Caenorhabditis elegans: one gene and its partners. The protein of the gene in region 4 purifies or fractionates together with the protein of the main gene of each other region. This does not show direct contact. Each region holds a gene or a part of one and is shown on either strand. Other genes may lie near its edges. The genes, in order: lin-54, lin-61, tdp-1 and hpl-2.

What was found.
Region 1: the proteins of hpl-2 (region 4) and lin-54 purify together in Caenorhabditis elegans (affinity purification with western blotting, with the first as the bait; one study listed by BioGRID). This does not show direct contact.
Region 2: the proteins of hpl-2 (region 4) and lin-61 purify together in Caenorhabditis elegans (affinity purification with western blotting, with the first as the bait; one study listed by BioGRID). This does not show direct contact.
Region 3: the proteins of hpl-2 (region 4) and tdp-1 purify together in Caenorhabditis elegans (affinity purification with western blotting; one study listed by BioGRID). This does not show direct contact.

What each region holds. Positions count from the first base shown.
Region 1 is NC_003282.8:13,239,278-13,244,361, forward strand, and holds lin-54 (Protein lin-54), read left to right. Parts: upstream 1-1,773; 5' UTR 1,774-1,790; coding exon 1,791-1,916; intron 1,917-1,958; coding exon 1,959-2,114; intron 2,115-2,165; coding exon 2,166-2,274; intron 2,275-2,320; coding exon 2,321-2,426; intron 2,427-2,476; coding exon 2,477-2,864; intron 2,865-3,405; coding exon 3,406-3,651; intron 3,652-3,705; coding exon 3,706-3,882; 3' UTR 3,883-4,124; downstream 4,125-5,084. Other genes in the region: tag-115 (SAC3/GANP/THP3 conserved domain-containing protein), read right to left, coding at 1-135; rpl-12 (Large ribosomal subunit protein uL11), read right to left, coding at 402-499, 549-656, 867-1,121, 1,247-1,283; JC8.4 (CMP/dCMP-type deaminase domain-containing protein), read left to right, coding at 4,398-4,928; cox-11 (Cytochrome c oxidase assembly protein COX11, mitochondrial), read left to right, coding at 5,047-5,084. UniProt on the Caenorhabditis elegans protein: Synthetic multivulva class B (synMuvB) protein. SynMuvB proteins are required to repress the induction of vulval development by Ras signaling and probably act by forming the multiprotein DRM complex that repress transcription.
Region 2 is NC_003279.8:7,248,476-7,253,631, forward strand, and holds lin-61 (Protein lin-61), read right to left. Parts: upstream 2,808-5,156; coding exon 2,445-2,807; intron 2,342-2,444; coding exon 2,159-2,341; intron 2,111-2,158; coding exon 1,944-2,110; intron 1,818-1,943; coding exon 1,721-1,817; intron 1,671-1,720; coding exon 861-1,670; intron 774-860; coding exon 634-773; intron 580-633; coding exon 501-579; downstream 1-500. Other genes in the region: adsl-1 (Adenylosuccinate lyase), read right to left, coding at 1-201; Mitotic checkpoint serine/threonine-protein kinase bub-1, read left to right, coding at 3,472-3,545, 3,591-4,120, 4,164-5,075, 5,120-5,156. UniProt on the Caenorhabditis elegans protein: Synthetic multivulva class B (synMuvB) protein required to repress the induction of vulval development by Ras signaling. Unlike other synMuv proteins it does not associate with the multiprotein DRM complex and the NuRD-like complex.
Region 3 is NC_003280.10:8,995,709-9,000,356, reverse strand, and holds tdp-1 (Tar DNA-binding protein homolog 1), read right to left. Parts: upstream 2,533-4,648; 5' UTR 2,524-2,532; coding exon 2,428-2,523; intron 2,374-2,427; coding exon 2,180-2,373; intron 2,130-2,179; coding exon 2,050-2,129; intron 1,947-2,049; exon of another isoform or gene 1,937-1,946; coding exon 1,698-1,936; intron 1,609-1,697; coding exon 1,468-1,608; intron 1,425-1,467; coding exon 1,207-1,424; intron 1,103-1,206; coding exon 826-1,102; 3' UTR 635-825; downstream 1-634. Other genes in the region: F44G4.5 (uncharacterized protein), read left to right, coding at 1-61, 115-576; F44G4.3 (uncharacterized protein), read left to right, coding at 2,815-2,879, 2,926-3,021, 3,072-3,171, 3,221-3,289; ndub-2 (putative NADH dehydrogenase [ubiquinone] 1 beta subcomplex subunit 2, mitochondrial), read right to left, coding at 3,458-3,848, 3,893-3,984; Brix domain-containing protein F44G4.1, read right to left, coding at 4,264-4,305, 4,355-4,484, 4,530-4,637. UniProt on the Caenorhabditis elegans protein: RNA-binding protein which regulates transcription, splicing and RNA-editing. Limits the accumulation of double-stranded RNA by maintaining the abundance of the mature RNA transcripts that are formed from double-stranded precursor RNAs.
Region 4 is NC_003281.10:10,751,261-10,757,639, forward strand, and holds hpl-2 (Chromobox protein homolog hpl-2), read right to left. Parts: upstream 4,262-6,379; 5' UTR 4,251-4,261; coding exon 4,209-4,250; intron 3,935-4,208; coding exon 3,761-3,934; intron 3,494-3,760; coding exon 3,255-3,493; intron 2,556-3,254; coding exon of another isoform or gene 2,483-2,555; exon of another isoform or gene 2,331-2,482; intron 2,297-2,330; coding exon 2,143-2,296; intron 1,772-2,142; coding exon 1,700-1,771; intron 1,295-1,699; coding exon 1,064-1,294; 3' UTR 994-1,063; downstream 1-993. Other genes in the region: enu-3.6 (ENhancer of Uncoordination), read left to right, coding at 1-66, 115-261, 310-444; rnf-113 (putative E3 ubiquitin-protein ligase rnf113), read right to left, coding at 4,438-4,721, 5,444-6,176, 6,240-6,377. UniProt on the Caenorhabditis elegans protein: Seems to be involved in transcriptional silencing in heterochromatin-like complexes. Probably does not act as global transcriptional repressor, instead targeting a subset of genes. Involved in RNA processing mediated by Tar DNA-binding protein homolog tdp-1.

The DNA of each region.
Region 1 (5,084 bases), on a different chromosome or scaffold from region 4:
TTTCGTCGGATCTGCAACGTATTTTGACCGGGGTCCTGAACTAGTCGATGCAGTAGCTTCTAATTGATCTATCAGATGATTCCGGCTTCGAAAATTTATTTCAGCGACTGGGCACATTGATTCACACGAGGCCATTTCTGAATGAAGCGAAAATATTTTAAAATAAAATAAACTGAAGAAAAAATTCATCAGAGCGCAGTTTCTCTCCACGCAAAAATCGATTTCGAAAAGCGACGAAGCACGAGTTCTTTTACCAGAAATAGATAACAAATGAATCCCAACACCAGTGTCTTTCGATACAAATTCTAAATTAGACGTCTTGCATGATTTATTGAGATATTTATCAAAATACACGCAGATAGTAACAAGAATTTATTGGAACAACAAAAACAAGTGACAGATCATTGAGCTGGGATCTCGATCTCTCCATTGGCGATCGACTCGATGATGTCGTGTGGGTGTTGTCCATCAATTGTGCATCCAACGGATTGGGCTGTTCCTGAAAAAATACAATATTTAGAAACAGTTTATCGTTTTCGAAATATTACCAAGGATCTCCTTGACGGTTCCTTCAAGTTTCTTGGCCATCGATCTTGGTCTCATGATTCTGGCGATCTTGATGATGGTGTCAACAGTGAGGTCTCCATTGTGCTTCACTGAAATGGAAACGTGCAAAACGTTAAACTAGATTGATTAAACAACCCGTTGGGACGAGACAACACCAAACCCAGGAAAAATCAAACTCACGGAGCATGAAAATCACTTAGGTTACTAGTCTTTAAGTCACAAACTTTTACAAACTTATGAAGTAAGAGACCAGGGGATGAGAGCATATCGACTCCCGACCCAACGCATTAAATGCGTACCGTTCTTGACCTTCTTGCGGTCACGTGGTGGCTCCTTGAGCTCCTTGACGATGAGGGAAGCAGCAGATGGGACAACGTCGATCTTGGCAACACGGTTCTGGATGGTCAATTTGCAGGTGACCTTAAGACCCTTCCAGTCTTGGGTGGCCTTGGCGATGTCTTCTCCGATCTTCTTTGGAGACAATCCAAGTGGTCCGACCTTTGGGGCAAGAGCGGAGGTGGCTCCGACTTCTCCTCCGACGCAACGGAGGTACACTGAAAAGTGAAAATGATGCAAAAGAGTTTTTCAAAAATCACGATGATGAAATCTTTGACAAATTGAAAATCACGCATAATACGTCAAATACCTAATTAAATGTGCACAAAAATGAGCAACTTACCGATCTTAATCTCAGTTGGGTCGAACTTTGGTGGCATGATGAGTGACGTCTACCAGGGATACCGGCGGTGACAAAAGTGAGAAAAAATTCGTCGCGAGGACTTGGCGCCGGCGAATTGACTCCGTATCACAATGGTTGTTGCGTCGCTACGCAGCGAATTGTCGATGTCAATTTTCAAACAACATTAACTGTGGAGCGCACTTGCATTATTTTTGTTTAATCAAATTTCGGCGCGCGAAACAATTTTTTAATCCTTTTTTTGGGTGTTTTTTAAATTTATTAATATTAAATCTTATTGAATTATTGATTTTCAAGAAATAAGTTACTAATTTAACATTTTTGAAAGTATTTAGACGGCGAAAAATGAAATTTTGGTTCAAAAAGGAACGTAAATAAGTTGTATTTCATCCTCAAAACGATGTTCTTTTTTTTTTGTTGGGAATTTTCTGGCAAGATAACTTAATTTCTTTTCGTTTAATCTCTTTCCAAATGCTAAAACATTGTTTTCCTGATTAGTTATTTTTCAGTATTTTCAGTGTTGACAATGAATCAAGGAGAAATCGTTTATCAAGACGACGATGATTATTACGACGAATCGGAGATATACGATAATTATGAAGAAGGTGCCGAATTTATCGAAGTTAATGGACAGCTTGTGCCTCATAATCCAGTAATTTGTTTTCAATTCGAAATAAAAATAAACTTTTCTCAGAACTTACAGGCGCAGCAAAATCGTCCGGGAACCTCGAGTATGATTCAACAGCATAATCGATCAATGGAAGTTAATCAGGGATTGGTCAAAGACGAACCAATTGATACATCATCGCATCGCGTCTACGTCCCCCCTCCGAGACCAGTTCAGCGAAAAGTAATTTTAAAAATTTTCGATTTTTTACGAATTGACTAACCTCTTTGGAAGCTTTTTCAGCCTGGGCCCAGCACTCCCGGATCGTCTCAGTACACTGTGCGGAATTTGTCCAATTTATCGGGTTCACCTTCAATGTACGATCGACAGCCCGCTTCATTACGTTCGTAAACTAGAGATCTTTTGTCCTAATAATTATTTTATTTAAGCTAGAACAGTGCAACCAATGGGCTTGGAGATGGGAAATTCTGAACAGCGAAAAGTTTACATCGATATGAAAGATCACGTTAGTCATATTAGATTGAAAACTAAAAAGTAAAGAACTCAAATTTTGTAACTTTTCACTAATTCCTCTATTTTTCAAGAAAAGTATTTGCACCTGGCCAGCGGAAACCATGCAATTGCACGAAATCTCAATGCCTCAAGCTCTACTGTGATTGTTTCGCCAATGGAGAGTTCTGTCGTGACTGCAATTGCAAGGATTGTCACAATAATATAGAATACGACAGTCAGCGTTCAAAAGCCATCCGTCAGTCACTTGAGCGAAATCCGAACGCTTTCAAGCCAAAAATTGGTATTGCTCGTGGAGGTATTACCGACATCGAACGTCTTCATCAGAAAGGATGTCACTGTAAAAAGAGTGGTTGTCTGAAAAACTATTGTGAGTGTTATGAAGCAAAGGTTCCGTGTACCGATCGATGCAAGTGCAAAGGATGTCAGAATACTGAAACATACAGAATGACAAGATACAAGGTGCAATTTCCTATAATTCAGTTTAAAAAATGGAGTAACGATTCTGGATTTTTCGAACGTATAGGCTAACAAATGTGCTCAAATTAACAAGTTTTGTTTGGCAGTTCAAAATTCCGAAAAAGGCTAATTTTGATCACTTTTCCGTGTCCCAGCGGTCGGAAGCTGACTTTTTTTGAATTATCATCTTTTATTGAATATTTTGGTATTTTATCTGACGTTATTTCATTGATTAAGGTACATTTAAAGCTGATCGGTAACCAATTTCGATCATTTTTGGTCACCTCTCGGCCTTAAATGTACTTTAATTGATGAAATTTTTAAAAAAACGTTAGATAAAATACCAAAATATGCAATAAAAGATGATAATTTTAAAAATGTCAATTTCCGACCGCTTCGACGCGGAAAAGTGGCCAAAATTGAATATTTTAGCTCAAATTTCACCTTTTTCAAATTTAAAAAAATCATATTTTGGATCTCTATACGTTCAAAATACCGCAATTCTTGCAATAAATTTAATTTCTTATTCAAATTTTAATTTCAGAACTCCGGTGGTGCCGTGTCCAATACGAATGCCCTGATGTCATTGACCAACGCTTCCAGCACAGCGACTCCAGATTCTGGTCCGGGAAGTGTGGTGACCGATGAGCATGGAGACGACTACGAGGATATGCTTCTTTCGCATAAACCGAAGGTCGAGATGGATCCTAGACGCTTCCCGTGGTACTATATGACCGATGAAGTCGTTGAGGCAGCCACTATGTGCATGGTTGCTCAAGCTGAAGAAGCTGTTAGTTGGAAAATCAATTGGTTTCCTATTGAATTTAATTTTTTTTCTTTGCAGTTAAACTACGAAAAAGTGCAAACCGAAGACGAAAAACTCATCAATATGGAGAAGCTTGTCCTTCGTGAATTCGGCCGCTGTCTCGAACAAATGATCACAAACACAACTGAGCTCACACAAGATCTTGATGCCGCTCCAACGGATGACATCCCAGGACCATCTACTAGTACTTCTTAACTATTCGCATTAAAATTATTATCAATTTTATCACAGTTGCGCGATCTTTTATGATCTCACCTCTCACACATTCTTTGCCTTCCTCCCCTCCTCTCAATGCTTTTACAGATTCACAAGTTGCCTTCTTTCAAAGTTGTCAAATAAAAAATGATCAGAAAAATTTGTTTCATTTTTACTAACTCACCTGCGTCTCTTCAATTTTAGAAATTATTGTGTTATATTTATGAAGTTTTGTGTCTTTTTTTTATTATTTGGCAGCATAGTTGCACATTTGTTCCCAGCAAAGTAATTATTTCGAGAAATGTTTGATTTTTTGATTCAGAAGTTTAAATTAAATTTTAATTGCGTATTGTGCGCCGAAACACGCTCCTATTTTAAACAAAGCTATTCAGGAGTGTTTCGGCGCACAATATGCATCGCTGGTCTGCGATTAAAATTAAAATTAATTTTTATTGTGCAAAAAATAATTAAAATGCGAATTAGTACACCTTTAAAACCTAGAAAATTTATTAGAAATGTCAGAAAACGAGCTGAGCGCCGAGGACACTGCATTTCTGGAAAAAGCCTTCGAATTGGCTCAAGAAGCTTTAGATGAAGATGAAGTTCCAGTTGGATGTGTATTTGTGGTCAATGGAACAGAAATTGGAAGAGGTCGGAATCGTGTGAACGAGACCGGTGATCCGACAAGGCATGCTGAGATGGTAGCAGTCACTGAAATGTGGAAAGAGCACGGAACGGGCTGCGAGGATCTGCTCAAAAAATCCACGCTCTACGTTTCCCTGGAGCCCTGCATAATGTGCTCGTCGGCAATGTATCAGCTGGGAATTCGAAAAATGGTGTATGGAGCCGAAAATCCACGATTCGGAGGTGTACGGAGTGTTGGAAGTGCGGAGAAGTACCGAATGGAGGATAATGTGCAAATTGTGGCTGGAATTTGGTCGGAACGATCTGTCGCCATGCTGAAAACATTCTACGAGAAGCTTAACCCATTTGCACCGCCTGAAAAGCGGAAAACTAAAAAACCAAAGTTAGATGAAATTAAATGATTTTATTAATTATTCATTCTTGTTTAATTTCTCGATTCTATGGTTACTAAATGCGCCATATATATCTGAATTATTATAGTTCCAATTGAGAAAAAGTATTAAAAAATCGATTTTTCAGATGTCTTTATCCAGGTTATGGGGCCCTGCGAGGAGCTG
Region 2 (5,156 bases), on a different chromosome or scaffold from region 4:
TACATCTCTATTGGATTTCATCTCATCAATTGCATCCTGAGTAACTTGTTTAAGACCGAGCTCTTTTTCAGCTTCAGCGAGCCAAATCCATAGTTGTCTCCAAAGAGTCGCTTTATTAGTCTCCGAGAGGATCGAAACAAGTGGACTATTCTTACAGTAACGAGTTGATAGAACCGACTCGAACTTGTCTTCGGAGGCCATGATACAATAAACTGAAACCAAAACGCTTAATATTTTCAGAACATTCAACATAAAACTGGTAGAATGTTTAAAGTGATACCACTAATACTAAATAGATAAGAAAATGGCGATAACCATGCAGAAAAGATACAAAAGAAACCATAAACGGAAAAATAATGTTGAAGATTCATGTTCGATAGGTGCAAAAAGAGTCACCAATGATAGCACAGTAAATAAAATAAGGGAAATACCAATCCAAAACGGGAAAGTGTATATAAGAGATCCTGCATACGAATGAAATTATGTTAATGTAGCTTTTATCAATAGTTGTACTTTTTCGGAGGTTGTAGAACATAACTGTGCGCTTCACACCATCCTATCGGTAGAATATCATGGGAGCTGAAATGATAGAATTTTCATTGAAAAAATGTCGTTCGGTCATGATAAACTCACTCCACATCATACAGTTCATCAAATTCTTCATCCCAGCCGTCGAAATTGACATTTATCAGTCTTCCATGAACTGATTTCACTGTAGCTGGACAAATAAACTGATTTTCACACATGTCAGCAGCTTCAAGGCGTAGTCCTACCTTAAAACAAGAAACAATTATGAATAACTATTAATAGTGAAACAATCTCAAACGATATAAAACAACCCGTTTGGAAATCAGAATTACCTTAAATTTGTCTAATCTCTCTTGGGAAGGCATTGGCTTGAACAAGTCAAGCGGTAGGGTTTCTGCAGATTCTTTCTCCAAGTATTCATCCCATCTGAATGTTCCTTTGAACTCATCTGGCGGAACAAGTTCCAAATTATACTTTTCCGCATAACCAACTGGGAACATAAATGTATTATTGATATGAATAGGAAAACTGTCTTCAAGTGCATCTGGACCATCCATTCCCACAATAAGATATCCTTCAGTTTTGCAAAATTTGAGAATCGAAGCGACGTGGAGGTTATTGAATTGCTGAGCCAAGGGGTCGATGAGCTCAAACTTTTGTCCAACCTTAACTTTTCTCCAAATCATGGGATCAATTGGATCTTTTGCTAATTGATCAAATGTGACGTCGTCTGAGTCATATCTTGGATTTTCTCCATTTTTTATTGCTTGAGCAATTTTATTTGTGTGCTCAATATATTCCTTTTTCGCATTTAGTTGATATCCATTGACTGCTGCAAATCCAACAGGAAATATGAAGAAGCTTCCCTCGTCTATCCAATATTGAGATCCAGAGCTAAAGACTTGTCTGTCGTCATCTGCATCTGGAAGCGATTCGGGAAAGTCTTTCTTTGTGATAGATACATTCATTCGTCGTCCACATATTTCTTGAATTCGCGCTACGCGTATTTCAGTAGAATTGGAATAATTTAATAGTTCAAGACGTTGTCCAACTTTGAAACGATGCTTGCTTAGGAGAGCCTTCCCTTCATCGAATTTTGGAGACAGCGAAGTTTGGCCGACGATTTCGCCATCAATGCAATTCTGAAGTTGTGAGATGATATTAACATAAATTCGGAAAAAAACAAACTTACATTTACATAATTTACCATATCATTTTGGTATTCTTCGTTGATTGCAAGCGGCGGAGCATATACAATTTTATCCATATTGGGATCACTCATTGCGGCGCTGAAATGTTCAAATTTTACTATTATACAAATGTTTCGAAGTTTTAATACGATTGTTCTCTAGAATTTTATGTAACAGAACCATTATTTATTTAGAATAGTAGAAAGAGCTGAGCGTCCAACTTACTTTGCCAAACCAAACATATCGTCCGATAAAATATTGAGCCAAAATTTCGTGTCAGCTCCGATAAACTGAGCCAGAACTCTGTATCCGCAAACTTTTTCAATTCGTGCAAACCATCTGACTTGAATCGAATCGCAGTTCTTGTCATAATCATGGACCACTGTTTCGAACTACAAAAATTGTATTTTAAAACCGATTTACGAACAATATGAACTCACGATAACTCCTTCCTTCACGCATTCGTTAAAATTAACTGTAAGGTTACGATTGAATGCTTCAACTGGAATGAAAGAAGTTTTTCCTTTCTCGAACTGATGTAAATAGGATTCCCACAAGTAGGTCTTATCGAGTTTTCTGTCCGATTTTTTGTTAGCTCTGACAATTTTCAGAAATTCAGACATCTGAAATTAAGACTGGTTTAAAACGTAATTAGAGAGAATGTTTATTGAAATTGAAAGTTAGTTCGATTTGATTTGATATTTCTCAGGCGTTCGTCAAATTCACAGTGTACTCAATATACTCCAACCCATTGGATCCACTGGTGCTACTCAACCCGTGCCTATACTCGCGAAAATTTCCATTTTTCGTGCAATTGTGCAGAAACCACCCATAAGGCTCGAGCTTTCCAAATTCAAATCCATGATGGCCGTCCTGATAGAAAAATATTTTCTTTCGAGCAAACATAGTCATACGTCCAGTGATGTCTTCATCGCGATCCCAAAAAGTATTGCCATCGTCTTCCCAATGCGACACTGTTAATTGGAACACTTCATCAAAATCACACTTAACTTCGACGCCAAACAGAAATCTTGTCGAACTGACTGTATTGTAGAACAACGCGAAGCACAAAATGACTAATTTTAGCATTTTGATGTTCGGGAACTAACTTTTCGGACGAACAAAAACACTCTTAACTATCTGGTGACAAATTAGACTACTGGGCCACGCTAACTTCAATTATTTCGAAACATTTTGCTTTAAAAAAAAAAGAAACAAAACAGGAAAATGGAGAAAATGTTTGAAAAATAATAAAAAAGAAATGAGAGACTCAATGCAGATCCGTCGATTTCGAAACTAGTGACGAACGGACTACGAAAAAATGGGCGGGCTTTTTGTGTTATTAAAAGTGTAACATTTCAAATTAAATTCCAATTGCATACAAACACTTTTTAAAAAATTGTTTTTTTATAATTTCAAATAGCTTTAAAATCAATTTTCAGTTATAGCAATAAAGCACCGCCCAATTTTCAGTAGTGCGCAATTCTCCAGATTCAAAAGAACGTAGCCATGAGAGTGACGTCACTGAACTACAGCGAAAAACGCGCTCTATCGAGCAGGCCCGCGAAGACTCGCTTTTCAAAAAAGACGCGCGCGTTTATATCCATTTCTTGTTTTCGAAGGTCCTAAAATTTAGAGGAGAAAGAGGGATTTCACGTCTCCAATGAACTCCGTAATTTTCGTGAACCGATGATTTTTTTATTCGCGTCCTTTCTACTTTGAAAACTTGTTATTCAGATTATTTCAGAAAGTTATGTCCCACATTAGAGTGGCATTCGCTCCACTCGACACCAATCCGTCGACATGTGGTCTTGAGACGTTCGCAACGTAAGTTTCCGTATATCTTGTATTTTAAATAGTCACCACTTTCAGGCAAATCGAAACGTTGTCTCAAATGATGACCGCGGAGGAAATGAAGGCGGAATTATACGACTGCGTTAGGAGAATTTTGCGGGAGCAAAAGTTTGATCAAATTCGTGAAAACGAAGCGATGCTCCGTCTCTACAAAGTTATGGGTCGATCTAGTACAAACCTGAAGGGAAGAGGCATTTATGAACAACTTTTCAAAAAGGATCATTTCACTGGTTCGCTGAAGTTCTATCTGCAATGGGCAGAAGAATGTGGAAAAGATCAAATGCTGGAGGAATTCAAAGATGTCCTGAAGTTGGCACGAGATCGTCTTTCCGAAAGAATAGAAATGACAGCAATTGAATCGGGATTTCGCGATTTGGTCGATGAATACTTCAATGGAGAATCTGGAGATATGTTCACACGACCGGATGAGACTATGGATCTTTTCAGATTCAATGCGGGTTCTAAGAAAAAGCGTCGCTCTTCGGTTTGCTTTTTGCAACACAATGTGCCTATAAATAACTCGGGAAAAGCTGCATTTGGACCAAAAAGTAAGTTTGAAAAAAAGTTATTATTCTCATTGGAAACTTACAGCCAAAACGGATCTTCGCCAGGCGTGTATCGACAGGCCAAACTATCATGGAATATCGATTGAGGAGTTTCGTTTTGCCAAATGGAAGGACACTTTCGGAGAAGATGTTGATGACGATTACCGAAAACGAAAAGACTCTGGTGTCGTTTTCGTGAAACATCAAGTCATTGATACCGACAGACAAGCCCGCGAAGAAGTTGAAAACCGATTCAACGCCAATCTAAATCCTAGAAGACGTCATCTTTCACCAGTCAGTGAGAAAACGGTTGATGATGAGGAGGAAAAGCGAAGCCGGATTTATTCGCCGCTGGTTGCAACGAAGGATGCTCACAGACCTGCACTTCGGAGCAAAATTGAGAATCCTCCAGCGACAGTGACACTTTCGTCGGATACAAAGTCTGCTTCGGAGAAAGATGTTAGTGATTCCGATGATGCAGATGATGATGAAAGACTCAAGATTATGACTGCCGGCAGAAAAGATGGTAACCCTCCAGACCGTTCCACAAGCATATCTTCCAACTATTCAACTGCTTCTGCAAGAACATCAAAGAGTGGAGCTGGATTGGATTTGATGGCGGAAAATAAGTGTTTGGAGGCACATGCTATGTTTTCCGACACTGTACATCTTGCTAGCGAAAAGACAATGGTCCTTGGCGATGATTCTGTCTTCGTTCCAGAAAGATCTTTAGCTACTACGCAGATAGTTACTGACTTTTCCGTGCTCTGTGATCCTGATCCGACAATGACCATTACACAGGAGCGTCCGAAAAAAGTGTCGAATGGGTTGAATGTTGTTTACGATGAGGCAGCCGAACCGGAAGAATCTCAGAAAGTTGAGGAATCTGAAGTACAACCCGAAATTGTCCTAGTTTCTCCAGTGACGCAAACCTCACCAGCTACAATGTTTAATGATAGTGGGTTTATCGAAAAATATAACAACTTATGTTTTAATTTTTAGTTTATGACGATGAAATCGAGTTTGGCTTTTTCAAACC
Region 3 (4,648 bases), on a different chromosome or scaffold from region 4:
AACGGATTCGAGATCATGCAGCCAACTTTCAACTTCAATGGATAATATTCAACGAAATTTGGTAAGTTGATTTATATTTTTATCCTTTTCAATTACAGAATTATTTTAATTTAGATGCTTCTGGAAATTGAGAAGAATGAAAAGTCGAGCTTTGATGACGTCATCACGGGTGCCGAATCGGATAATGGTTGGGAGGATTGTTTGAGAGAAACTGAAAGTGTTCAAAGTCAATGGATCACTGAACAATCCACCATTGCTTATCCAGAAACTACACGTGTCAATTGTGATGGTCCACAAAGTTATTATGAATTGGCTGATTTGAATTATAAGCCAGCAGAGAATACTGTTCGTTTGGCTCGTGTCCCATCACAGTACCAACTTGATGCTTTGTCCGAGATTTTCGTTTTCGATGTTCCTCAACATATTGCCGTTAAAAAAGTTGAAGCTTCATTTCTGCCGAAATATGTGAACACGAGTTCCGAGGTTGCCCAGAATTCTGTGAACACGACGCCATACTTTGTGAATTCGGAGTACGTTTCTGAGATGTTGTGCAATGAATACTCGGAAACTTACTAACTTTTTGTGCCTCTTGTCTTACCAATTCTTGAGAATGAACTAGTTTTTTAGTCGATTTAATTTCAGGTTTTTTATTCAGAGATTGTAGAATTGCATTATTAAAAATACAGCATAAAATCGCAAAGTGCGTCGACATGAAAATTGTAGGGGTCTAGTAAATGTGAGAGAACAATACTAATGACAAATTGTCAGACAAGAAAATTGAGAAAAGTGTAGAAAAATATGAATAATAACGATTTTTCGAGAGAATCACCATCCTGGTCCTCTCGAGTCTCCAGGTGCCCAGTATCTCCTCTCGAGGGGAGAATTTTGCTGACGGTATGAGTAATCTTGTGGTGGGCGGACGAATGGCATGGGCAGAGGTGCTTCATTTTGAATCGGTCGTCTATCCGGTCGATCACGTTCTCTGCGGTTACGGTAGCCAGCTGGAAGGCCATAATCAGGGCCAACTGATTGATTATTCTCTTCTCGAGGCTGTGCGATGCTCAATCCAACTGATAAACCGTTGACAGTTAGCGATCCTTTGCTGAAAATTATATTTCTTACTAGAATGAAAAATATGAGTGCTTAAAAGTGATGCTACACCGGAGACAGTTATTTTTAACAGGTTTTCCAAAAAATTAGCAATACCTGACAATTCTTTCCGCGGCTTCGGCGCTCGACAGCGTAACGAATGCAAAGCCTCTGAATGGTTTTGGGATGAACACATCGGTAACTACTGCAGTCTCTATATAGCTTTTTGCTTCATCTCCAAACACTTTTCGCAGTTGATGTTCGTCTACTTTGTCTGTGAGCCTTCCGACAAAAATTCGACTGATTGATGGACGACCTTGTTTGTCCTGCAAACTCTGCTCAACTTATTAGTTTTAATTGATCAGTATAATAACATACCCTTCCATCTGGAACTTTCACATCACAACGACGACCATCAATCATGTGCTGTGGGATAGCTAATACTTTATTTTGTTCACCGACTGATGACATTCTGACAAATCCAAATCCTTTTGAGTTTCCATCCGACTTTCGTTTTATCTGAAGAAGAATATTGAATATGTATTTTTAATGGAACCTATGTGAACTTAATTCTCTCACTTTCAGATTCCTTCACTCATCTCACGAACCTCACAGAACACAACAGTTCCTATATCTTCGAAGTATTTCTGAAAGCACTCGTCAGTCGTTTTGAAGTCCACACCGAGCACGATGAGGTCAACTGGCTGGCTGTCTCTCTCAACCGCTCTCTTCCTGCCCGAACGTCCGTCACGACCGTCATCCGAATCCGAGTCGTCACTCGATCCCACTTTACGTCTCTTCGCACTCGTCGCGTCAGCTGATGACAACGCTCTGACTCTCTCGCTCTCTGAATCACACTACGTCACTCGAACGTCTTCACTCAGACTGTCACATAAACCGTCTCTACTCAAAAGCTTGAATTTTGGTGAAACTAGTTAATATAAAACAAAAACAACTTACGCGGGGCAACAATAACGAAGAACGTTTTATTTTCCCAGCCGTCAGCTGGAGCAATTAATTTCAAACCACTGGGATCGACTCTGGAAAATAAAATAAATTTTAAGTCAGTATACCTCCACCAAGCACTCACTGAACAGCTCGGTTGGCTCCAGTTTTTGGATTTTTGTACTTCAAACCAGTAGCACCCGGAAACGATGCTTGCAATGTAGTCATCAAGACAACACCATCAACGGTAGGAAGTTCTATTGGCTCATCTCCATTTGGATCTTGTACTGTGATGAATTCCGGGTCCGTGGTTTTCTTTTCGTCACTCCCAGTTTGTGTCTGGAAAACATGAACATGGGATATTAGCAACTGTACGAATTATTATTAACTTACCAGTTCTGCCTCTTTTCGAATTTCCTTAACTTCATCCAAGGGTGATTTAACCTCGGCCGCAGGTTCTGTTTTAACCTTCGGCGTTTCGTCGGCCATTTAGTGACTGGAAACAGATATATTTGAAATAATAACAAATTTACTAAAATAATGAATTATTTGTATCTATTTTTAATCAATAAAACCAATAAATTGAGCCAAAAATCTCCGAGCAAAAATCTTGTAAATTAATTACACAAATGGTGTGCAAACACCATGACGCACATATGCACACATTTTCACACCGTACCTCTCAGAAACTAGGCGTCTCTGAATTACAAAAAAAACCTTCTTTTGCCCATTAATGATCATTTTATTCTCTGAAACTTGACAATTGACTATTATTCAAACATGGAAGGTGACAAAAATGTGGTGATGAGTTCAAAACCGACAGGGAAAGCCAATTGGAAAATAAAGTAAGTGTTGTTCACCAGCGTTAAAATTAAAATTATTAACTTTCAGATTCCACAAAATTCTGTCATATCCTATGAAAAGAACTGGTCCTGCAATTGTAGCTTCAACGCTTCTCTACATAGTAATGTACAATGTTGGAGTCCGGTAATAAAACATTGTAATTGATTCATTTTTAACTGAAATACTTATTTCAGGTGGTGGAAAGGCGACAAACATCCAGTAAATCGGTTTATGTGGAAGATACAAGAACAAGAAGGAAGGCTAGATCCTACTCTTCAAGCGAAAAAACAAGTTGTAAGACTAAATTTCCGCTCGAAATAGTTTTTCATTCGTCTTTTTTCAGGTTCTTTCCTACCAAGAAGAGCGAGTTTATCGTCCACGAGACAATGTGCCGGACCTTGGAATAGTTTAGGTTATTTGGTTATAGATTAGAAATAAATAATTATATTTTTAAAATGTTCGTATTCGAAGCCACTTTATTGAATTACAATCAGGCATACAGGAAACGGTTAAAAATAAAAGTCAAGTCGTTTCAAGAAGAATGAGACTATGAATGAACTAAAAACATTCTGTCAACTATTTATCGATAAGTTCCATATTCTTTCTTGTGGTTGCCCCAGTATTCTGGATCTTCGGCAGAATCCTTTGGAATTCCGAGCTCTTCATCCGTGAACTCGCTCAAGTATGGCATGTACCAATGTCCCAAGAGATGGCCAGAATGATAGTACATGTGGTACGAGAACCACGCCCAAATGACAGCTGAGATGAAATAGGTTACACAACGATCGATGTAGGTTCGACCAGTTGTTGGAGTACGGTAGAAGTAATCTGGAATTGGCTTATCCCCCTTCGAGATGGTACCGCGGTAGTCTCCATCATAGGTGTGCAATTCTGGATTCTCCGAAGCTCCCATCTTTCCTCCAACTGGAACATTTGGACCAACAGCATCAGATCCCCAAGCAAATCGATTTCTAGAATAAAAAATAAATCTATACTATTCGGAAAGAAAATTTACCGAACAAAAGTCAGACGAGATGGGGAATTGACGAGTCCTCGATTGCGGAGGTGCTGCAGAGCCAACTGAGCAACGAATTTGTTCCCCAACATGGTCAGAACCTGAATAAATTCTGCGAATATATATAATAATAAAATATCATCAGAATAGATAATTATCGGTCAGAAACCTTAGAGGTAACAGTTTAAAAAAATTGCATCAAATTATATTATTCAATAACATCAACAAAACAACAAAATAAAAGCAGTAACAAAGATGATAGGGTTGCATGGGAGAGATTGAGATATTTGTTCAAAACTTCAAAAACCTTAGTAAGGATAAAATTGGGGCTTCGAATTTTTTTGCAACCTTTGAAAAACGAATAATAGTAATCAGAGGAAGAAACGACGACGACTGGTTTCCATTTCGTGTCTCTGAAATTTTTAATAATTTTCATTCAATTAATTTTAAATAAATCCATACCTTGAGGACCCATTCGAATTCTCCCCACTTTGCGTCGAAAGTACCCTTCTGTAGCCACTTAAGTCTTAATGTGAATCGAGGACCCAACTCCAGAAGCGCTGCTTTTGAACCTTCCTTTTTGAATTCGTATCTGAAATTTTTAGATATTCGATTGAAATAAACATGATTCACCTACCTATGATGTCTGAAAAAGATGTAATCTCTCTGATTGTGGAATGTTACAACTCTGCGTCCAGTGAATTTTGGATCGTGTGGAAAGAGACAAGCAAGCATTCGAGCGATGCTGAAAATATC
Region 4 (6,379 bases):
ACAGTGCTGCCAGAACCCACCAAGGAAACGCCGAAAACCGACGCTCTCCTCACACCGGGATCTCATGTAAGTTTAAAGGCACACGCTGGGTCTCACAACGATTTTTGTTTTCAGATTAAGGGAAGATCAATGGCGGCTGAATCGTCGAAGCGCAAAGCCCCGAAGCTGCCCACTGATTTGACGAACTTGGTCCCACTGCTCCAACAAGCTCAGATGCTTCCAGTCACCGAAAAGGCCACCAAGGAGAAGCTCCAGACTCCGGTTAGCTTAAATCTCATGATGTTTTTATCTAAAATTTCAAATTTTCAGAAGCAATCGCCAATGCCAGGCACCCCGGAAAATACGTCGCTCCCACCGTCCTTGATTAAGAAGAAGAAGAAGGAGTCGACATCGAAACAAGCAGCGCTGGAAGCGTTCGTCACTGTGGACAAGCCACACGATTGAAGTTCTTCTGAGCCCCCGACCGCCTCTCGTGATTTTCCCCCGTTTTTAGGTCCTTCATTTTTTTTATGGAGCCCCATTTCCCCTTTTCTATGCTCATCGTTCCCCACAATTGTATTATTTATGACCTCGTATAGTCCCATTCTTTTTTCAAACTCCCCGTCCGTATTTATTTCCCCACACAATTTCACTTCTATTACTTTTCTCTGACAATAAATTTTTTTTTGTCAAATTTTGTTTCTCTTTCGACATCAAGGAACTTTCAGTTTAATGATTTAGTGGGTTACTGTAGCTCTTAAAGGCGCACTCATTTTTTACGGGCGAAATTCAGGTGTTTCTAGGAAGTCTGTTTGCCATCATATTTTATCAGATTTTTTTGGCCGAAAAATTTGTTAGTCGATGCACCATGAGTTTTGTTCTCGATGTTCTTCATTTTTGTGGGATTTTCTGCAAATGCAGAAAATTTGTCGATGCACCATGAGCTTCTCAGTGTTTCTAACATATTTTTTATATATATTTCTAAAGAGATTTTTGTTGTACTATCCATTATATAAAGATAATGTTCAAACTTTATATAAATCGGATTTTCGAAAAAAAAAAGAAACAGCGGAGATCAAATAATTTATGAGTTTCTTGGGAACAAGAGACTGTCATCATCGTCTGGTACAGTGTCGACAACGATCGGACACGGTGGCGGGCTATTCGAATTGTCATCGAAAACGGAGAGGATGGCCGCCTCGTGAACTTCTCCATCGCCAGAGTCTTCAAGGAAATCTTGTGGGAAGCTGGAAAGCAGATCTCCATTGGCCGCCATGTGCATATCATTGAGCATATCGGCCGCGGTTTGCTGAAACTGAAGAATGGTTTAAGGAAGCACGTGGAGTCATACAGTCCCTTTTCGCTTTGATCTACGAAAAATGCGGGAGAAGAGACGCAGACATCTTATCTGATTTTGCATGGTTAAGAGCGTTCTGACGTCACATTTTTTCTGGGAAACAATTCCCGCATTTTTTGTAGATCAAACTGCAATGAGACTTTCTGACACCACATGAGGAAGGCTATTTTTTTGGCGAAAAAATCCCGAAATTTACAATTTCTGACATTTTTTTATTTACTAGAGATCGATTTTTAAACGAATTTCAGGAATCTCTTTTACAAATCTATGTTTTCCTTTTTCTTTGAAAAATCGATACATAGTGTTCTGTAGTTCTTAAAGGCGCGGCCTCAAAAAATATTTCGTTCGTGGTAAGACCCCTACCGCTTCAGTCATCTCAACGTCCTGCGATATTTTCGATTCCTTCCTACGTTGCAGCTCGTGTTCTTCGGTTGTCTGGAATTAAAATAAAAATTTTGAAAAAAATTTCAAAAATTGTTTTTTATTCTAAAATTAAAAATACATAATTTTGTTCCAAAAAAAGTTTCTAAACTACTTTTTCCTTAAGAAGAATACCTAAAAGAATTCAAAATTCGCAAAAAATTAGTTTTTTCTCAAAGATTTAAAAACAGTATAGTTTTAAAAAAATTTCTCAAAAAAAATGTTTTCCCAAAAAAAAATTTTTTTTAATTAAAAAAAACATTTTTCGAGAGGTGTTCAAATTTTGGACCTTGTGTAGAGACTGTTTTTTGGAAACATTTCAGAGAAAACTTTTTTTTTTCATTTTTCTCAAAATTTTCTCCTTCTAAAACTTCAAATTTTCTCACAAGAATTCGATGTCCCGGTGGCATTTCAGGCCACTCATCATCTGCATCATCTTCCTCAATCGAACGCTTCTTCTTTCCCTCGGAAATCCGTTTGTGTCGTCTCTCCATCTTTTTCTTCAGAAATTCGCCGTAAGCGTCGACGAACGGGCGGTATCTGTATGGAAAATAGAATGTCGAATGTAATGTGTCTCAAGAAATTTTTATTGATTCAATAATATTTAGTCTCGATTTCAGGGGTTAGCACAAAAATTGGTATAGATTTTACAAGATAATTCAAAAAGAATATGGGAATGAGATGAGAGAACATGATATTGAACACGTGTATCGGGGTGGGGAGTGATTAAAGCTCGTCGGCTTTTGGGTCTTGGATTGTTAGCTTGGATTCGTAGTATCTGATAACTTGGCTCGGATAGCTGAAATTTAGAGCTTTTTTAAATGCCAAATTGAGGTTCGCTTCCTAGCTAAAAACTCTAGCGCCGATCGGGATTTCAGTTTTAAATACGCAGAATAGTCAGAAAAATTTTGAATGTTTGAATTACCGCGCCATGGTTTTTATCAATTTAAACGCAATTGTTCCGTTTTTCCTCGAATTTCTTAGTGAAAAAGTCCAATTTTTCATATTTTTCGTGGTATTTCGGTATTTCGGCACTTATGTGCAGTACAGCCGGCATATTTTAGAGTGAAATCCCCATCGACGCGTATCACGAGACCACAAGATTCTGAAAATGCGTATCGCGCAAAATATCTCGTAGCGAAAACTACAGTACAGTAAATACAGTAAATTCTGTAGTGCCTGTGTCGATTTACGGGCTCTATTTTCGAAATCATATTTTTTTGATTTACCGATAGAATATTAAAATTAAGCAAAAATGCCACTATTTGAACAAAAATCCATTTCAAAACTCGAGCCCGTAAATCGACACTACAGTAGTCATTTAAAGAATGACTGTAGTTTTCGCTACGAGATATTTTGCGCGTCAAATATGTTGCGCAATACGCATTCTCAGAATTTTGTGTTCCCGTAATATTTTTTTTCGGATACTTTTAAAGTTTTTGGGTGGAGTGTTTCCGTAATACACTTTTAATCAACCGGGAGCAATTCCCAAACTCACCGACTGTTCACCTCCTTCGCTGGAAGAAGCCGTGCCGTGTCATCACTGAATTTGCACAGAAAATGAAGTTCCCCAGGTCCCTTGGTGAGCCCGACAATGCATTTTAACTGCTTGCCTTCCAGTGAGAATTTGTCATTTTGATTCGTTTCCTTCTTTTCATCTTTATCCTCTTCTGGATCCGCTTGATCTTCGGAAGGTTCGGGCTTCTGGCTGTGTCGTTTGCGAATTGGTTTCTCTCTCTGTAAAAATAAAATAAGTTTGTTGCAGAAAAATCGGATTTTATGACTTTGTAATTTTAACTCTAAAAAACCTAATTTTAGTTAAAATCTTCAAGTTTACCAGCTTTTCCGTGTGAAAATAGGAGAATAATCGAACAAAAATCTAATTTAAACAGTTGCAGCACGGAAAAGTGGGCAAAATCGAAGATTTTTCAAACAATTTTCACTATGAAATTCGCTTTTTAGGACCATTTCAAGTAAAATAAACTTTAAAAAATTCTTCAAAACCTTTGAAAATTCCCTCTCAAACTCGTCCAACATCTCGACGCACTGGAGATTCTCTCTCGGCTCCCAGCTAGAGTCAGACTCGGGGAATCCTTGCCACTGTATGAGAAATTCGTCTCTGCCGGCTTTTCCAGTTCGCTTGTCCAGCACTTTTTCCACCATGAACACGTTGTCCTTCTGGAAATCAGATTTTTGAATAAAATGTGACTTTTTTTTTCTTTGTCGGGGAACTTATACTGTCGCTTTGTTTCTAGCAAAATTGGATTTTTTATGCAAAAATAGATTTTTTGTTGCAAAATTGTTTTTTTAAAATATTTTTTTTAGTGCAAAAATTGATTTATTGTTTTTTTGCAAAATGGACTGTTTTTTGGTTTTTTTTCGTTGCAAAATTGTATTTTTTAGTTTTTTTTGTTGTAAAAATAGATTTTTTGGTTTTTTCGCCGTTCCATACCGGATCTTCGATTTTTGCTCGCTTTGTTGATTTGCTCGACATTTTTGAAATTGCTGAAATAAATTTGAGCTAAAATGGGAGAAATCTGAAAAAACATAGAAAAAATATGGAATAAAGATTCGAACAATATCTTGAAATTAAAAAAAGGCTCGAACAAGAAAAAAAATCATATTTAGTTTACTCACAGACAATCACCGTACAGAAATATTTAAAAAAAAAATAAAAATTATCAATCTTTTTCAGCATCATCATCATCACTCTCAGAGTCATTTTCTCCACCTTCAAGCCCTTCCACATCCTCCATCATAATCTCCTGTTCCTCATCGCTCTTCTCCTCGGCTTCTGGAACATTTGAGTCGTTTTCAGGCTCCTCGGGCTCATCTTCGTGATCATGATGATGGTGATCGTCGCATTCGTGTGGTTTTTCATCATCGTCACTATCTTTTTCTTCTTCCTGTTTCTCGGCTTCTTGCTTCTGTTGTTGCTTCTTCCGTTTCAGGTAGGTTAGGAGCTCTGAAAATTTAAAAATTAATTTTTTTTTGCCACATTTTTCGAGCTACTATCTTGTGAATTTCGCAAGTTTTGGATTAAAAGCGCGGTTTGTTGCATGTAAATTTACGAAGGATTTTGTACTTCACCCGGACAACTGTGAGTTATTGGCTGAAATTTACTTTTTTGAACTATTTTCGCTGATTCTCTTCCAACATTCCAAATTACCAAAGAAATGAGTTTTCCAAAAAGCAGAAAAAGAGGCGGAACGTAATTTTGCAACCAATTTTGCAACCATGCGGCACGGTTTTCCTTTTTCTTTTTTGGGGTTTTTCCATAAAAGTTTCGATTTTATTCCTTTTAATTCACATTAGATTGGGAGGATATTTCAAGCTAAATTGGTTGTAAAAATATGAACTATAATCGAAATGTTATGCGAATTAAATTTGATTTTTTTCTCGTAAAAAAAAATAAAACAGGAAGAATCGAAGTTTTTTGGAAAAAAAAACCAGAAAAAAAACCAAAAAAAAAAACAGTGGAAAATTGTCGAAAAATCGTGCCGCAGAGTTGCGAAATTAGGCTCCTCCTCTCTTTCTAGTTATAATGTCTTATTATTGTCCAAAAAATGTGAAAAAAGATTCACGCTTGTCCACGTGCAGTATCCTCCGTAACATGTAAGTATCAAACTGCGCCGAAAAACCTTCCAAAACTTGCGAAAATCACGAATTAATCGTTCTATTTCAAACCTTTTGCGGTATTCATAATATTCTCAGTATTCTGCTGACATATTGGGCATTTTGACGACTTTTGGAACGATTTCAACGCACAACCGGTGCAAAAGTAGTGCTTGCATTTTGTCACGATCGGATCAACAAATGGATTTCCGCAAATAAAACAATCCTCCGGAAACGTATCGTCGCCTTCATGAATCTCGTAATTCGCATCGTCTTCAGCACCATATTTTCCTGCTTCGTACTCCTCATCAATCTCCCATCCGTGTTTATAGTCCGATCGGTCGTGCACAAATTTACACGAATCTCCAAACGTACAGAATCCAGTCTCCTTGTAATCCTTGCAAATATCCGGTGCAAAATCCCAACGGACTGTTTGTCGTAGAAATTGTGGCGCCCGAACGGGCCCAACTCGATTATAACCACTTGCAGCGTTTCCCTTGGCCGTATCCTTCGCCTCTTTGGCTCCATACAGTGCACTTCCCTTGTACAGAATTTTTCCGTCTTTCTCGACGCCTTCCTTCAGTTGCTGTTGGACTCGTTCGAATTGAGCCTGGGCATCGTGTGAATAGTCTGTGTCCACTTCGAGTGTTGCAGTGGCACCTTGATCACGTGGTCCAGATGGACCGGCATCTCCTGAAGCGGCGAACGAGTGAGTTGCTACTGCGATATCCTGATTGTCGTCAGAGTCGTCAGAATCATCCGATGAATTATCAGCACGTCGTGTTGAGGCGTCTAGTTGTTTGGTCTGAATTTCAAAGTTTATTGGGATTTTCCAAAATTTTGGAGCACTAAAGTACCAAGATCTCACCGACTGGACCATCGGATTCGTACGACGTCGCTTTTGAATCACATCCTTCACTTCTGAATCTTGATCCTCATCACTTGAGCTTTCCTTTTTACGAACGACGGGTGCATTGCGCTTTTTCGGTTTTCGGAAGAGATCCATTA